Linked DNA regions of Mus musculus. The protein of the gene in region 2 purifies or fractionates together with the protein of the main gene of each other region. This does not show direct contact. Links are inferred from orthologs where the notes say so. Each region holds a gene or a part of one and is shown on either strand. Other genes may lie near its edges.

Region 1 (4,239 bases), on a different chromosome or scaffold from region 2:
CACTAGCAAGAGTTTGCTGAAAGGACCCTGATATAGCTGTCTCTTGTGAGACTAGGCCGGGGCCTAGCAAACACAGAAGTGGATGCTCACAGTCAGCTATTGGATGGATCACAGGGCCCCCAATGGAGGAGCTAGAGAAAATACCCAAGGAGCTAAAGGGATCTGCAACCCTATAGGTGGAACAACATTATGAACTAACAAGTACCCCGGAGCTCTTGACTCTAGCTGCATATGTATCAAAAGATGGCCTAGTCGGCCATCACTGGAAAGAGAGGCCCATTGGACATGCAAACTTTATATGCCCCAGTACAGGGGAACACCAGGGCCAAAAAGTGGGAATGGGTGGGTAGGGGAGTTGGGGGGGAGGGTATGGGGGACTTTTGGGATAGCATCGGAAATGTAATTGAGGAAAATACCTAATTAAAAAAAATTTAAAATCCAAAAAAAAAATTAACACAGTATTCTTCAAAAATAACAGCAGGGACTGGGAAGGTGGCTCAGGAGTTTAGAGCACCTGCCGCTTTTGCAGAGGATCCAACATTGGCTCCTAGCAACCTCGTAGCAGCTAAACTCTAACTCCAGTTTAGGAGATTTGACACTCTCTTCTTGCTGTCCAGGCACACAAGCACTGCACTTACTAAATGAAGGCAAACCACTCATACATGTTTAAAAAAGAACGGACAACAATAGTACCACAGGAAGTCAGTGTGCAGGACCATACAAATGCTCAAATGTTTCAATAGTGGCCCCTAAATACATTTCAACCATTTTGGGTCTTAGCAACTTACACAGATAAATACTAAATGAAAATACAACTTACCTACAATTCACAGTTGCTTTTCCACCTTCAAATTCAGAGTCCTTCCCCCACCTCTGAGGTAATTCTAATGCCATAAGTCCTTTACTTCCGATAAGTGCTACATGATGTTGGGTTGGACTCAACAAGACTTGATGGATTTCAAACAAGGGTGGATTAATGCAGAGTAATCTCTGAAAGTAAAACCATTTAGTAAAAATAGTTAATTTTAATATAAATTTATTTCAGAGTTGCTTGAAACCATAATCACGTTTTAAATTTCTAAAGTTATAAATAGCATTCTGAGCATGTACTAACTGTGTCATTAGCTGATTATTCCCCAAGAAATAATCTCTAGGTTCTTGATAGATGACAACACCTAAAAGCACTTGCTGCCCTTGCAAAAGACCTGAGTTTGGTTCCCAGCACCCATATTCTTGGGGCTCATTCATATTCATATTCTCTCTCTCTCTCTCTCTCACCAAACACACACACAAACTGAAAATAAAAACCACAGGGCTACTCTTCCAGAGGACCTGGGTTCAATTCCCAGCCCCCGCACGGTGGCTCTGTAGCATCTGTGTGCACCAGGCACATAGATGTTATATGCAGCACTCATTTGCAGGAAAACATACATACCCAGAAAATTTAAAAACAAAAACTTAAAAAAAAAAAAAAAAAAAGGGAGAAATTACCCCTGATCTTGCGGCCAGGGAACAAAGGCATGTTTTCTGTAGTTCCACACCACAGCTCTGGGTAATACCACAGGTCTTAAACATTCTAAACTTTCCCTGACATAACCCAGTAGGCGCTACTTGAGATTTTTCTTCTGTGTTCCTGGCCTCAAGCAGACTCTTGATACCCAGTAAATACATAAACTCGGAAGTATCAACAGATTACCATCTTATAACTGTACTGTAGAGAAAGGAAGAGCTTCAGGCCAAGTGTAAAGGTTCACGCCTTTATTCCCAGCACCAGATAAGGTGCAGGTGGCTCTGTTTGAGCTCCAGGTCACCCAAGGTCACAGGTAAGGCCCTAGATTACCTTCAAGCGCCTTGCAGCAAGCAGTACTGCTTCATCTACGTGGACTTAATATAAAAGAGTGATAGTTTAAGGGAGTTTCAATAATTTGTCATAGCATCATATAGCCTCAAAAATACTCTCACCCTGGTACTTCCTATTTCTTTTCTCATGACCATTTTAGATTTCTAATTTCTTTTTATTATTCGTAAATAATGATGAGACCATCAATATATTATTTACCTTAGTATGGAGAATTATACTAAGCCAAAAATCCTTTTAAATAAGGATTTCTTTTGAATATAATAATATTTCTAATTGCTTTTAAATCTGTAGGCCCATGTCTTTAAATGCCTGTTGTAGAACTGGGCAGTGGCAGCACATGGCTTAATCCTAGCTCTGATCAGGATCCTCCAGATCTCTGTTAATGAGGTCAGCCTGCTCTACAGAGTGCGTTCCAGAACAACCAGGGCTGTTAACCCTGTCTCAACAAACCCCTCCACCCCCACCGAAGCAAATCACAGATATTACGGAGCTTGTGCATGCTCTAGGTTTATGTCAGGTGCTGGACACACACACAGGCCTAGCCTCTGTTTTGGTGTTTATAAATGACTTAGACCCGTAATCTCAACACTCAGAGACTGGGGCAGGAGTTCCTGGCTAGCCTGGGCTACATAGTGATTCCAGACCAGATTGAGCTACAAAGCGGGGTCATTCCACTCGAAGTGGGGCGTTCCCAAAAGACGCCAGCCCAGGTCCGCCAACGAACCAAAAGGCTGATTGCTTTCACGATGGACCGGCGCACCTGATACTGGGAGAGAGGAGGCTCCACGCCACCACCGCTGGGGCCTCGAAGGCGAACCACCAAGAAGGCGCTGCCTTCTGCGTCCCACAGAAACAGTTCCCCTCCGAGGCCGAAGACCAGGTTTCTCGTCGGCAAATGCGGCGGCAGAGACGGGCACGAGGGTGAAGTCGAAGCCGCTGGCTTCTCCGCTTCGGCTGGACTCTGGTTTCTTACGCCCTCGCGGAGCCGCAAGAACACGACGTGGTTAGGAAGCCAGCTCTGCCACAGCTCCCCATCGCCCAAGGGCCCCACGGCAGCCGCCATCTTGAACTAACAGCTCAGGATTGAGGGGCGGGAGGAAACGAAGCCCGCTGCTGTGCGTAGCCAATCCGCGGCCAGCACTTCACAGCTTCAGCCTATCAAAGTGTAGGAATCTCGAGAAGTTGGCCCAATAAGAAAGAATCGCTAGAGGATAGACAGGGCCGCGGGTTGAAGCCAAGGTGGGCGGGGCGGGGCGGGGCGGAGTGGAGTGTAAGGATCGCTTTGGGGCTGCTGCTGGGCCAGTGAGGGGGTAGCGTTAAGGATGAGAGATGTGTGTCTGATTGTCTACTGGACAACTTCCTCTGGGTAAACCCAGAACTTTCTCTCAAGATTCACCTCCCTCAGCCCGGGTGGTGTTTACTTCTCAACTGTCACTGCTTCATCTATCCTCGGATTCCCCTAAATCTGTCACTGTGAGGGGATAGAAACTAGATACAATTCCAAGAAAGCCCGGCGGCCTGAAGTACAGACAGACTGCGCCGAGACTACAACTTCCAGAATCCTTTGCGCGCGGCTAAGGGGCGGTGATTTGGGCGCTGTTTCCCGCTAAGGGAGGAGATGGCAGAGTCCTCGGGGTCTCCGCACCGCTTGTTGTACAAGCAGGTGGGCTCGCCCCACTGGAAAGAAACTTTCAGGCAGGTGAGTGTGAAGTTTGGGTTGTCATCACTTCCCTAATCTTCCCAAGGACCTCTGTCCTCGGTGTGCTCGCTTCAGCACTGGTTGTGGAGCAGGTGCCCGGTGTGCCTGGCCAGCGAGGTGGATCTCTTGCTATAGGATTGGGTCCCGGCCGCCGCCCGGGCTGTTGGCCGGCGTAGGTGTTATGCTATCCTAGGATTCGACTTTGTTTCATATTTTAAGAGTCATGACAGCAGTAGCAACACCACCACCTAACGTTCGGTTACAGAGGGAAGCACTCCGTATGTATACGTCACGTGAGATAGAAGTTATTTCTCTCCTGAAGAACATCAGACACGGTTAGGAGAGTTGAACTTAAGCTCCGCCTTCTTCCGAACTCAAGTAGTTCCTTCTAAGAAGCAGCTTATCTCCCTGTTCAGCAGTCTCAAAAGGGTGGGTGTATTCCAGAAGAACCACCCAGAAAAACAATCTTCATGCTGAACATGTTGTGTGGAGTAGTGTTTCTCAACAGTGAGTGCTGACGTTTCGAAGGAGAACGTTCTATTATGGGAGGTGGTTCTGTACAATGTAGAACACTTAGATGCAGCAGCCTTGGTCTCTCCACCTACTAAATGGCACCAGTCAGTAGCAGTTCTTCAAGCAGAGCTGTGACAACCACTTGGGAACAAAAACTGTCCCGAGT
Region 2 (3,272 bases):
CTGCTGCCACCACCAGTGCAGGGTCTACACTCTTTGCTTCCATAGCTGCTGCTCCTGCCTCATCCAGTGCTACAGGGCTCTCCCTCCCAGCTCCGGTGACAACTGCAGCAACTCCTAGTGCTGGGACTTTGGGCTTCAGCCTCAAGGCCCCTGGAGCAGCTCCTGGTGCCTCCACCACCAGCACCACCACTACCACTACCACCACTACTACCACTGCTGCTGCCGCTGCCGCCTCTACCACAACCACTGGCTTTGCCTTAAGTCTGAAACCCCTGGTGTCAGCTGGCCCCAGCAGTGTAGCAGCTACTGCTCTGCCTGCCTCCAGCACAGCAGCTGGGACTGCCACAGGTCCAGCGATGACCTATGCACAGCTGGAAAGCTTGATCAACAAGTGGAGTCTGGAGCTGGAAGATCAGGAGCGGCACTTCCTGCAGCAGGCCACACAGGTCAATGCCTGGGACCGCACACTGATTGAGAATGGGGAGAAGATCACCAGCCTGCACCGAGAGGTGGAAAAGGTGAAGCTGGATCAGAAGCGACTGGACCAGGAGCTGGACTTTATCCTGTCGCAGCAGAAGGAGCTGGAAGACCTCCTGAGCCCATTGGAGGAGTCAGTGAAGGAGCAAAGTGGCACCATATACCTTCAGCACGCTGATGAGGAGCGTGAGAAGACCTACAAGCTGGCTGAGAACATTGATGCTCAGCTCAAGCGCATGGCACAGGACCTCAAGGATATCATCGAGCACCTGAACATGGCTGGTGGCCCTGCAGACACCAGTGACCCATTGCAACAGATCTGCAAGATCCTCAATGCACACATGGACTCTCTTCAGTGGGTGGACCAGAGCTCTGCCCTGCTGCAGAGGAGGGTGGAGGAGGCTAGCCGTGTATGTGAGGGCCGGCGCAAGGAACAGGAGCGCAGTCTGCGCATTGCCTTTGACTAGCCACGCGTGAGTGGGGGGAGGGGCTCCTTGGGTTGCAGGGCTGCTGCCTTTCCCGTGGTTGGTTGTTGAGAAAAATGCTCTTTGTTTTGATTCCCTGTTATCAGAAGTGTTTTGCAAAGGCATGATGTTCATGGATATAACCTGTGTGCTCTGGAGACCAATGTGAAGGTCACTGAACTCTCGGCCAGCATTTAAAGAACAAGGGCAAGTGGTGAATCCAGCGCTCCCTTGCAAGCTTCAGCTCTCCTTGTGGCAGAACTCATCCTTCAGCCACTCCAGTACTACTGTGAGGGTGGATAGGTGCTCCAGACGAGAGACTCACCTGGGGTGGAGACAGGCTTCTGTGCGTCTCTAATTCCTGTCAAGCCCGTGTCCTCCAGAGGCTCTGGCACATAGAGTGGAGTCACCAAAGCACCACTTTTGCACTGGCTACCTCTCACTCCTATCTTGTGCGCTTCTGTGGCAGGGACTGACTGCTGATACGTCTTTGAGGCCAAAGTGGATGCAGATTTGCTTCTGAATATCCCAGTGTCAAACCTATCTTAGATCCACAGTGGTGAAGCTGGCAGTCATGTCTATTTTATTTCTCTGCACTCTATTGTAGCCTTTGTGGTCCCTGATCAAAATGTTTGTTGCTTTTCTAAATAAAGGAAGATTTGTGAAACCAGACTTGCTGTGAGTATGGGTAGTGGGTCCAAGCTTTGGCAGGATAGGGCAGGACACAGCTGGTGTGGTGGTGGTACTCCTATGCCGCCCGGGTTGGAAGCGCTGGCTGAGCCATAGGGCCCAGTCTCTACCTTCATGGGGTGGGCAGGCTGCAGGTGTGAGAAGAGTCCTGTCTACCATTGTGCCTAAGTGGTAAGTCATCCATTACCCTAATACGTGCAGGTGTCATTGTGATGTCATCAGCAGTGGGAAATGAACACTGAGGGGTGATTTCCAGATGCTGGTCTCACTTAGGCCCGGCACTTGGCTATAGGACTGGGGGACCTTGAACCAGCAGTGGGGCCACTTGGGTCATGTTGGGTCATGTTGGCACAGGAGAAAGCTGGGGGTGGGATGAGCGGCTAGATAGAGAGGTAGTCGCTCAGTGGCTAAGAACACAGGTTGGCTGCTCTTCCAAGGACAGGACCCTATTTTGATTCAATGCACCCACGTGGTAGCTTACAACCACCCTGTAATTCAGTCCCAGGTTATCTGACCTCTTCTGGGCAGCTTGGGTACCGTCTGCACATAGTGCAGAGATACACATGTAGGCAGAGTCATAAAATCTCAAAGCGTAAAGAACTGGCATTGTGAACGCCTGTCACCCCAGTACTCTGGAATTCCAGATCATCTTGAACTACATTGCTACATAACCACGTAGAGGCAGGGCCAGTGAACTGGGAGGACGCAAGTCCTGACGACCCCAGTGGCCTTCCTGTGATGTGTGACATTTCATTGGTCTAAGACAGGATCCCCCCACTCTAGCCCAAGTTCTTGAATTGTTGTGAACTTCCTGCCTTAGCCACCTAAGCTCTAAGACTATGGGCAAGACACTACAGCCCAGCCCTGCACTCCATGACTTGACTCCCAATTGATTATGATGCTTAGGTCTCAGTTCCTCTAAAGATGTGTCTTATATACATGATTGTCATTGGTGGGCTCAAACAATAAGGGTGTGCGTTTTAATAAAAATGCATTTTAATGTGTGTCCTTGTTCAGGATTGTATATTGGACCTAAAGATGAATTCTATTTTGAAGATAGGGCCTGCATGTATGCTAAGTGCACACTCTGTCCCTGCTACTACATCCTAGTGACCTTGTAGTTTAGAAACATTGAAATTATGCCCTGACATCTGCCCTACTTTGAAGAAAAGAGACTAGATCTCTGTGCTGGGGGAATTGGGGAGGGGTGCCCAGGATGGCAATGCTATTGGCAACCTGCTGGGCATGCCCAGGTTACACTTACAATTGCAGTTTCCTTCTCTAGGAAGAACACAGGCAGATGCCCTGCCTTGCTGACCGGTCTCATTAAATCACCATGAAGACAGCAAAGGTGACTGATTGCATGGGGAGCCTATTCCACACCTCTCCCTGGATAGCCAAGGGCCAGTCTGACCCAACATGGGGGAACTAGCCTGGCCTAGTGTGAAACTCAAGAAAGGGGGAAAAAGTGTAAAATGTCAAATAAGAGGAAGTTGTGTCCATGTCACGCTAAGGCCAAGAGGGAGCTGGAGTTGAAACTCCACTCCTCTGTCCCCTGTTGTCTGCCTAGCAAAGGGCTTTGCTCTATACTGAGCAGCACAGAAAACAAGGTATGGGGAAGGAATGAGTGTGCTTTGCTTT
Region 3 (4,138 bases), about 57 Mb from region 2:
GAAAGTGGCTCTAGGACTTAGTTTTAGAATTTCCCAAGAACAGTACTTGACAAGTTTTTCATGGAAAGTAGGGCATGGTGACATATACCACTCTGTACATGAAAGGGAAAGGCAGAAAAATTAGGAGTTTAAAGTCAGCCTTAGGCTACACACCATGAATATTGTCTCAAATAAAAAAAAAGTCTTAGACAATTTATGAACTGACTTTACAAGCAAAGTAAGAATAGTTTTATTAAAATGTAAGCAGTCATCTCATTCAGGTATAATTTTAATAATTTCTTAACCTTGGTAGTTACAACTTGGGGAAGAATGGTTAATTGGTACTGAACTATCTTGCTGTGAGCATGTACTGAATTTCCAGCACAGCACACTAAATCCTCATAAAATGCTTAACATCTGGCATCTACTAAGATTTATATAATATATATACACATAATTACATATGTATACATATATATGTATATGGGGGAGGGATGGGGTTTCCATGAGTAACAGCCCTGGCTCTCCTGATGATGGATTTGTAGACAAGGATGGCCTCAAATTCATAGAGATTGCCCTGTCTCTACCTCCTGAGTGCTGGGATTAAAGGCATAGAATTTCAGAATTTTACAAAGCCTCTTACTAGAAATTAATCAGTATTACAATATTGATGTCCTAGACTATCACCACACAAATAATACTGTTTTCCCAAATGTGAATTTGGTGCCCTGCCAGTGTAATTAGATACCTAGGAGCTAATGGCTACCAACAAAAGCACAGAGTATTTCATAAGTACACAAACATCTAGTCTCTTTTCCAGAGTATTTCTCAGTTTAACTTTTCTGTATTTGCTCATTCACAAATACAACTAAGGAACATCTATGAGCCACATTACCTAAATATTAAGAAATATATGTATCTATGTTTTGGTGTGTGTGTGTTTTGAGAAAGGGTCTCATTATGCAGTTCTGACTGGCCTGAAACTTGCTATACGGACCAAGCTGACCTCAAACTCCCAGAGATCCATCTGCCTGTATTTCTGGAGTACTGGGATTAAAGGCATTCCCATCACAGCCAGCAAGATTAAAAACAAAACAAAACAAGACAAAACAAAACATAATCTAGTAAAATGTCAAATAGCTAAAATGTAAAATGTCTGCTACAAGCAGAAGATCAGGTTAAGTGCTATGGAAACTTACAAGGAAGAGTGAGTCAGGTGGTGATGCTCAAACTGAGAAAATGATACAGAAAACACCAAGTTACAACTTTTAAGACTTCAGTTCTCTTCTGTGCTTTTGCATTATTTGTTTTTAGGTCTTATGGTTTATATAAACATCAAAACTACAAGCTGATTGATATATTCAGATCAAAATGACAATTCCATCAAATCTTAAGTAGCAGATTTAATTTTATCAATGTATTTCCCAGTACCTCTAACACGTTAAGCCTCATTTTTTTCATTTTACTGAAATGAATTCAATTATTTCTTTTATCACGTGCATAAGTGTTTTGCCTGTGTATGCTCTAGTTCTCTGGCCTCAATTTCCATAACTGGTGACATTACAGGCCTGCACCACATCTATCTTGGTTTTATTCCCCACCCCACTTGGCTTTTTGAGTCAGGGTCTCTGCAGCCCTAGATGTCCTGAAACTCAGTATGAAGAGTAGGCTAGCTTTGTAGTCACAGAGTGCCTCCTGCCTTTGCCTCTCAAGTGCTGGGATAAAAGGTGTGCACTGCCAAGGTTAAAGCCAATTTCATCATTTTTAAAGTTTTGTTCTCAAAAGTCTATGTTAAGTCTGGATGTGATGGCAAACACCTTTAATCTCATTACCTCAGCGTTAGAGGCAGGTGGTCTCTTTGAGTCTGTGGCAAGCCTGGTCTACATAGCGAATTCCAGGCCAACCAAGGGTTGTCTCCGAAGTTAAAAAAAAAAAAAAAAAAAAAAAAAAGCAAAAAAAGTCCCCATCAGGGTACTACTAATCAAGTTATCTTACTATATATAAACGAACATGAAAACAGCTAAACTAGAAGTGTTTTTGAAAATTATGTCAAATGCTGGGTCCTTACCCCTACCAAATAGAGAATTGCCAATATTGGGAGACTGGAACATAGAGGAAGGGTGGAAGAGTATACAAATTCTACTAGACTTGAATCAAGACACCTGGATTCTCTTCCTCTACCTACCTCCCACTAATAAAGCCTCTGTACTTGAGGCAGAGTGGGGGCGATTGACAATTTAAACGCTTATGGCTCCAGTTACTCAGAAATTCAATCTTTCTCACCTAGGTTTACACGGAACAGAAAGAACCCTTCATTTTATTTATCAGACAATTGTCAGTGTCTTAAAAAGCTAAACACAGTTCTGACTCACTCAACCCTCTGGTTGAACCCTAGACAAAACGTGTCCTGTAGAGTGGTCAAGGAAGTGACGGGGAGACCTCACTGAAGTCCCCCCAAGGCACCACCCTGCAAGGGTCTGCCTACCGCGGGCTGCTCACCTCCACCCAGCGAATGAATGAGTAGCACCGGAGAAAGCGAGGTTCACTCAATGTGGGCTGCGACCCGAGACCCCTCCGGCCTACGCCCCACACAGTTGGATCCCCTCCCAGGGCCTCCCGAGCCAGGCCGCAGGCCCCGGGCCCCGCCCCCTCACGCAGGCCCGAAGGAGCGCGCCCGGCACGAGACTCGGCGGCGGAGAGGGCCCCGGGCGTCCAGCGCAGATGCCGGTACAGAGAGGAAGATCTACCCGCCCAGCCCCGGCAGCGCTCCCGACTTACAGCGGTGCGTCTGGAGTGAGAGCCCAGGTCCGCCCGTCACCCGCCGCTCACCGCGCGGCCTCCAGAAAAACCGTCGTCGCCGCCGCCGCTGCCACCGACCGCCGCTTCGGGCGCAGCGCGCAGAGGCCTGACTGCGTCACACGCCGTCCACCGTCAGAGATCGGCTCCGGCCGCTCCGCCCTTGGCGGCCGGGCATTGGCGGGCCGGTCCGCCACTCGAGGCCCACACCGTTATTCATTGGGTGACGATCCTTTTGAAACCGAACGTGGAGGCGGTCTCTGATTAGGAACGGAGGGGAAGAGGAGGAGCGTAAGGAATTGCCGGGAAAGGGGGGGGGGGGGGGGAAAGGAGGGACGATGGGGAGGGATGTAGAGTCCCACTCCCTCTGCCGCAACGGTTGGCTGAGAGAGGCTCATGACGTCACACAGGCCCCTCGAAGAGGGCTGGTGCGTGGCTAGAGGAGTGAGCACCAAACCGCAGTGACGCTGTGTCCAGGCCCCGCCCCCTTCCTTGGAGCGCGGAGACTCGCTACGGAAGCTCCGGCCAATCAGAAGGAAGTCCCAAGGATGACCTGGTAATTGTTCTATCCTTCTCTAGCTCCTGTCTGCGGGCAATGATGGGAAGGCTCCTTGGCCACCTAGCTTGCACTTGGAGAGCCGGAGGACCCTTCCTGGAAACCCATCAATCCACAGATTGTCTGCAGACACTCCACTCCCCACTGTTCTTTCCAGCGCAAGCCAGCCCTCGCCGTACACTTTCCCCCTCTGAATCTCTAGAATAGACCTGAGCAATGGATTTGCCTTAACAGAGCTTGAGCCCAATGAGGAGATTCTTGGCCCTTCAGCCTCAGCTGCACTTTCAGAATCTATACTTGTTCTGGGTTTCTTGCGGCCTTCTCCAGGACACATTTGGTAACCTTTACAAGTCCCGGTGAAGTTCAGGCAGTCTGCTTGTAAAGACCTTGTTACTTTGTATCTTATTTATTTTCCGTTCTATGCCTCCTCCCTCCCCTGATCTGGGCCAAAGCTTCATTTTCATCCTTTTGGTGTCTTTTCTCCTAGGATCTAGCAGAGAGCAGAAGAGTGGGCATGTTCTAGAAACCAGACCTCTCTAAATTATTGAGGTCTCACAGATAACAGGAGCTGTGTTAAAAAAAAAAAAAAAAAAAAAAAAAAGAGGTACATACTACCTCTCCACCACGTCCTGGGAAATCAATATAGAACTGAAACGAGATTTGCTAAGAATTTTAAATGATTCCCTCAAACAAAAACATCTTAAAGGAGCTGGAGAGATAGATGGGCTCAGCGATTAAGAGCACTGGCTGCTCTTCCAGAGGTCCTGAATTCAATTCCCAGCAACCCCATGGTGGCTCACAACCAAC

Evidence for each region.
Region 1: the proteins of Nup62 (region 2) and Nup88 purify together in Homo sapiens (co-immunoprecipitation; 4 studies listed by BioGRID and IntAct, counting the BioPlex papers as one, with this or other methods). This does not show direct contact. The link is inferred for Mus musculus from reciprocal best matches to the Homo sapiens genes NUP62 and NUP88.
Region 3: the proteins of Nup62 (region 2) and Nup98 purify together in Homo sapiens (affinity purification with western blotting; 3 studies listed by BioGRID and IntAct, with this or other methods). This does not show direct contact. The link is inferred for Mus musculus from reciprocal best matches to the Homo sapiens genes NUP62 and NUP98.

Annotation. Positions count from the first base shown.
Region 1 is NC_000077.6:70,967,028-70,971,266, forward strand, and holds the start of Nup88 (nuclear pore complex protein Nup88), read right to left. Parts: upstream 2,947-4,239; 5' UTR 2,925-2,946; coding exon 2,622-2,924; exon of another isoform or gene 2,060-2,621; intron 991-2,059; coding exon 821-990; intron 1-820. Other genes in the region: Rpain (RPA-interacting protein), read left to right, coding at 3,480-3,560. UniProt on the Homo sapiens protein: Component of nuclear pore complex.
Region 2 is NC_000073.6:44,829,200-44,832,471, forward strand, and holds the end of Nup62 (nuclear pore glycoprotein p62), read left to right. Parts: coding exon 1-944; 3' UTR 945-2,637; downstream 2,638-3,272. UniProt on the Homo sapiens protein: Essential component of the nuclear pore complex. The N-terminal is probably involved in nucleocytoplasmic transport.
Region 3 is NC_000073.6:102,207,261-102,211,398, forward strand, and holds the start of Nup98 (nuclear pore complex protein Nup98-Nup96 isoform 1 precursor), read right to left. Parts: upstream 2,907-4,138; 5' UTR 2,758-2,906; exon of another isoform or gene 2,673-2,757; intron 2,651-2,672; exon of another isoform or gene 2,479-2,650; intron 1-2,478. Other genes in the region: Pgap2 (post-GPI attachment to proteins factor 2), read left to right, coding at 3,324-3,331. UniProt on the Homo sapiens protein: Plays a role in the nuclear pore complex (NPC) assembly and/or maintenance. NUP98 and NUP96 are involved in the bidirectional transport across the NPC. May anchor NUP153 and TPR to the NPC.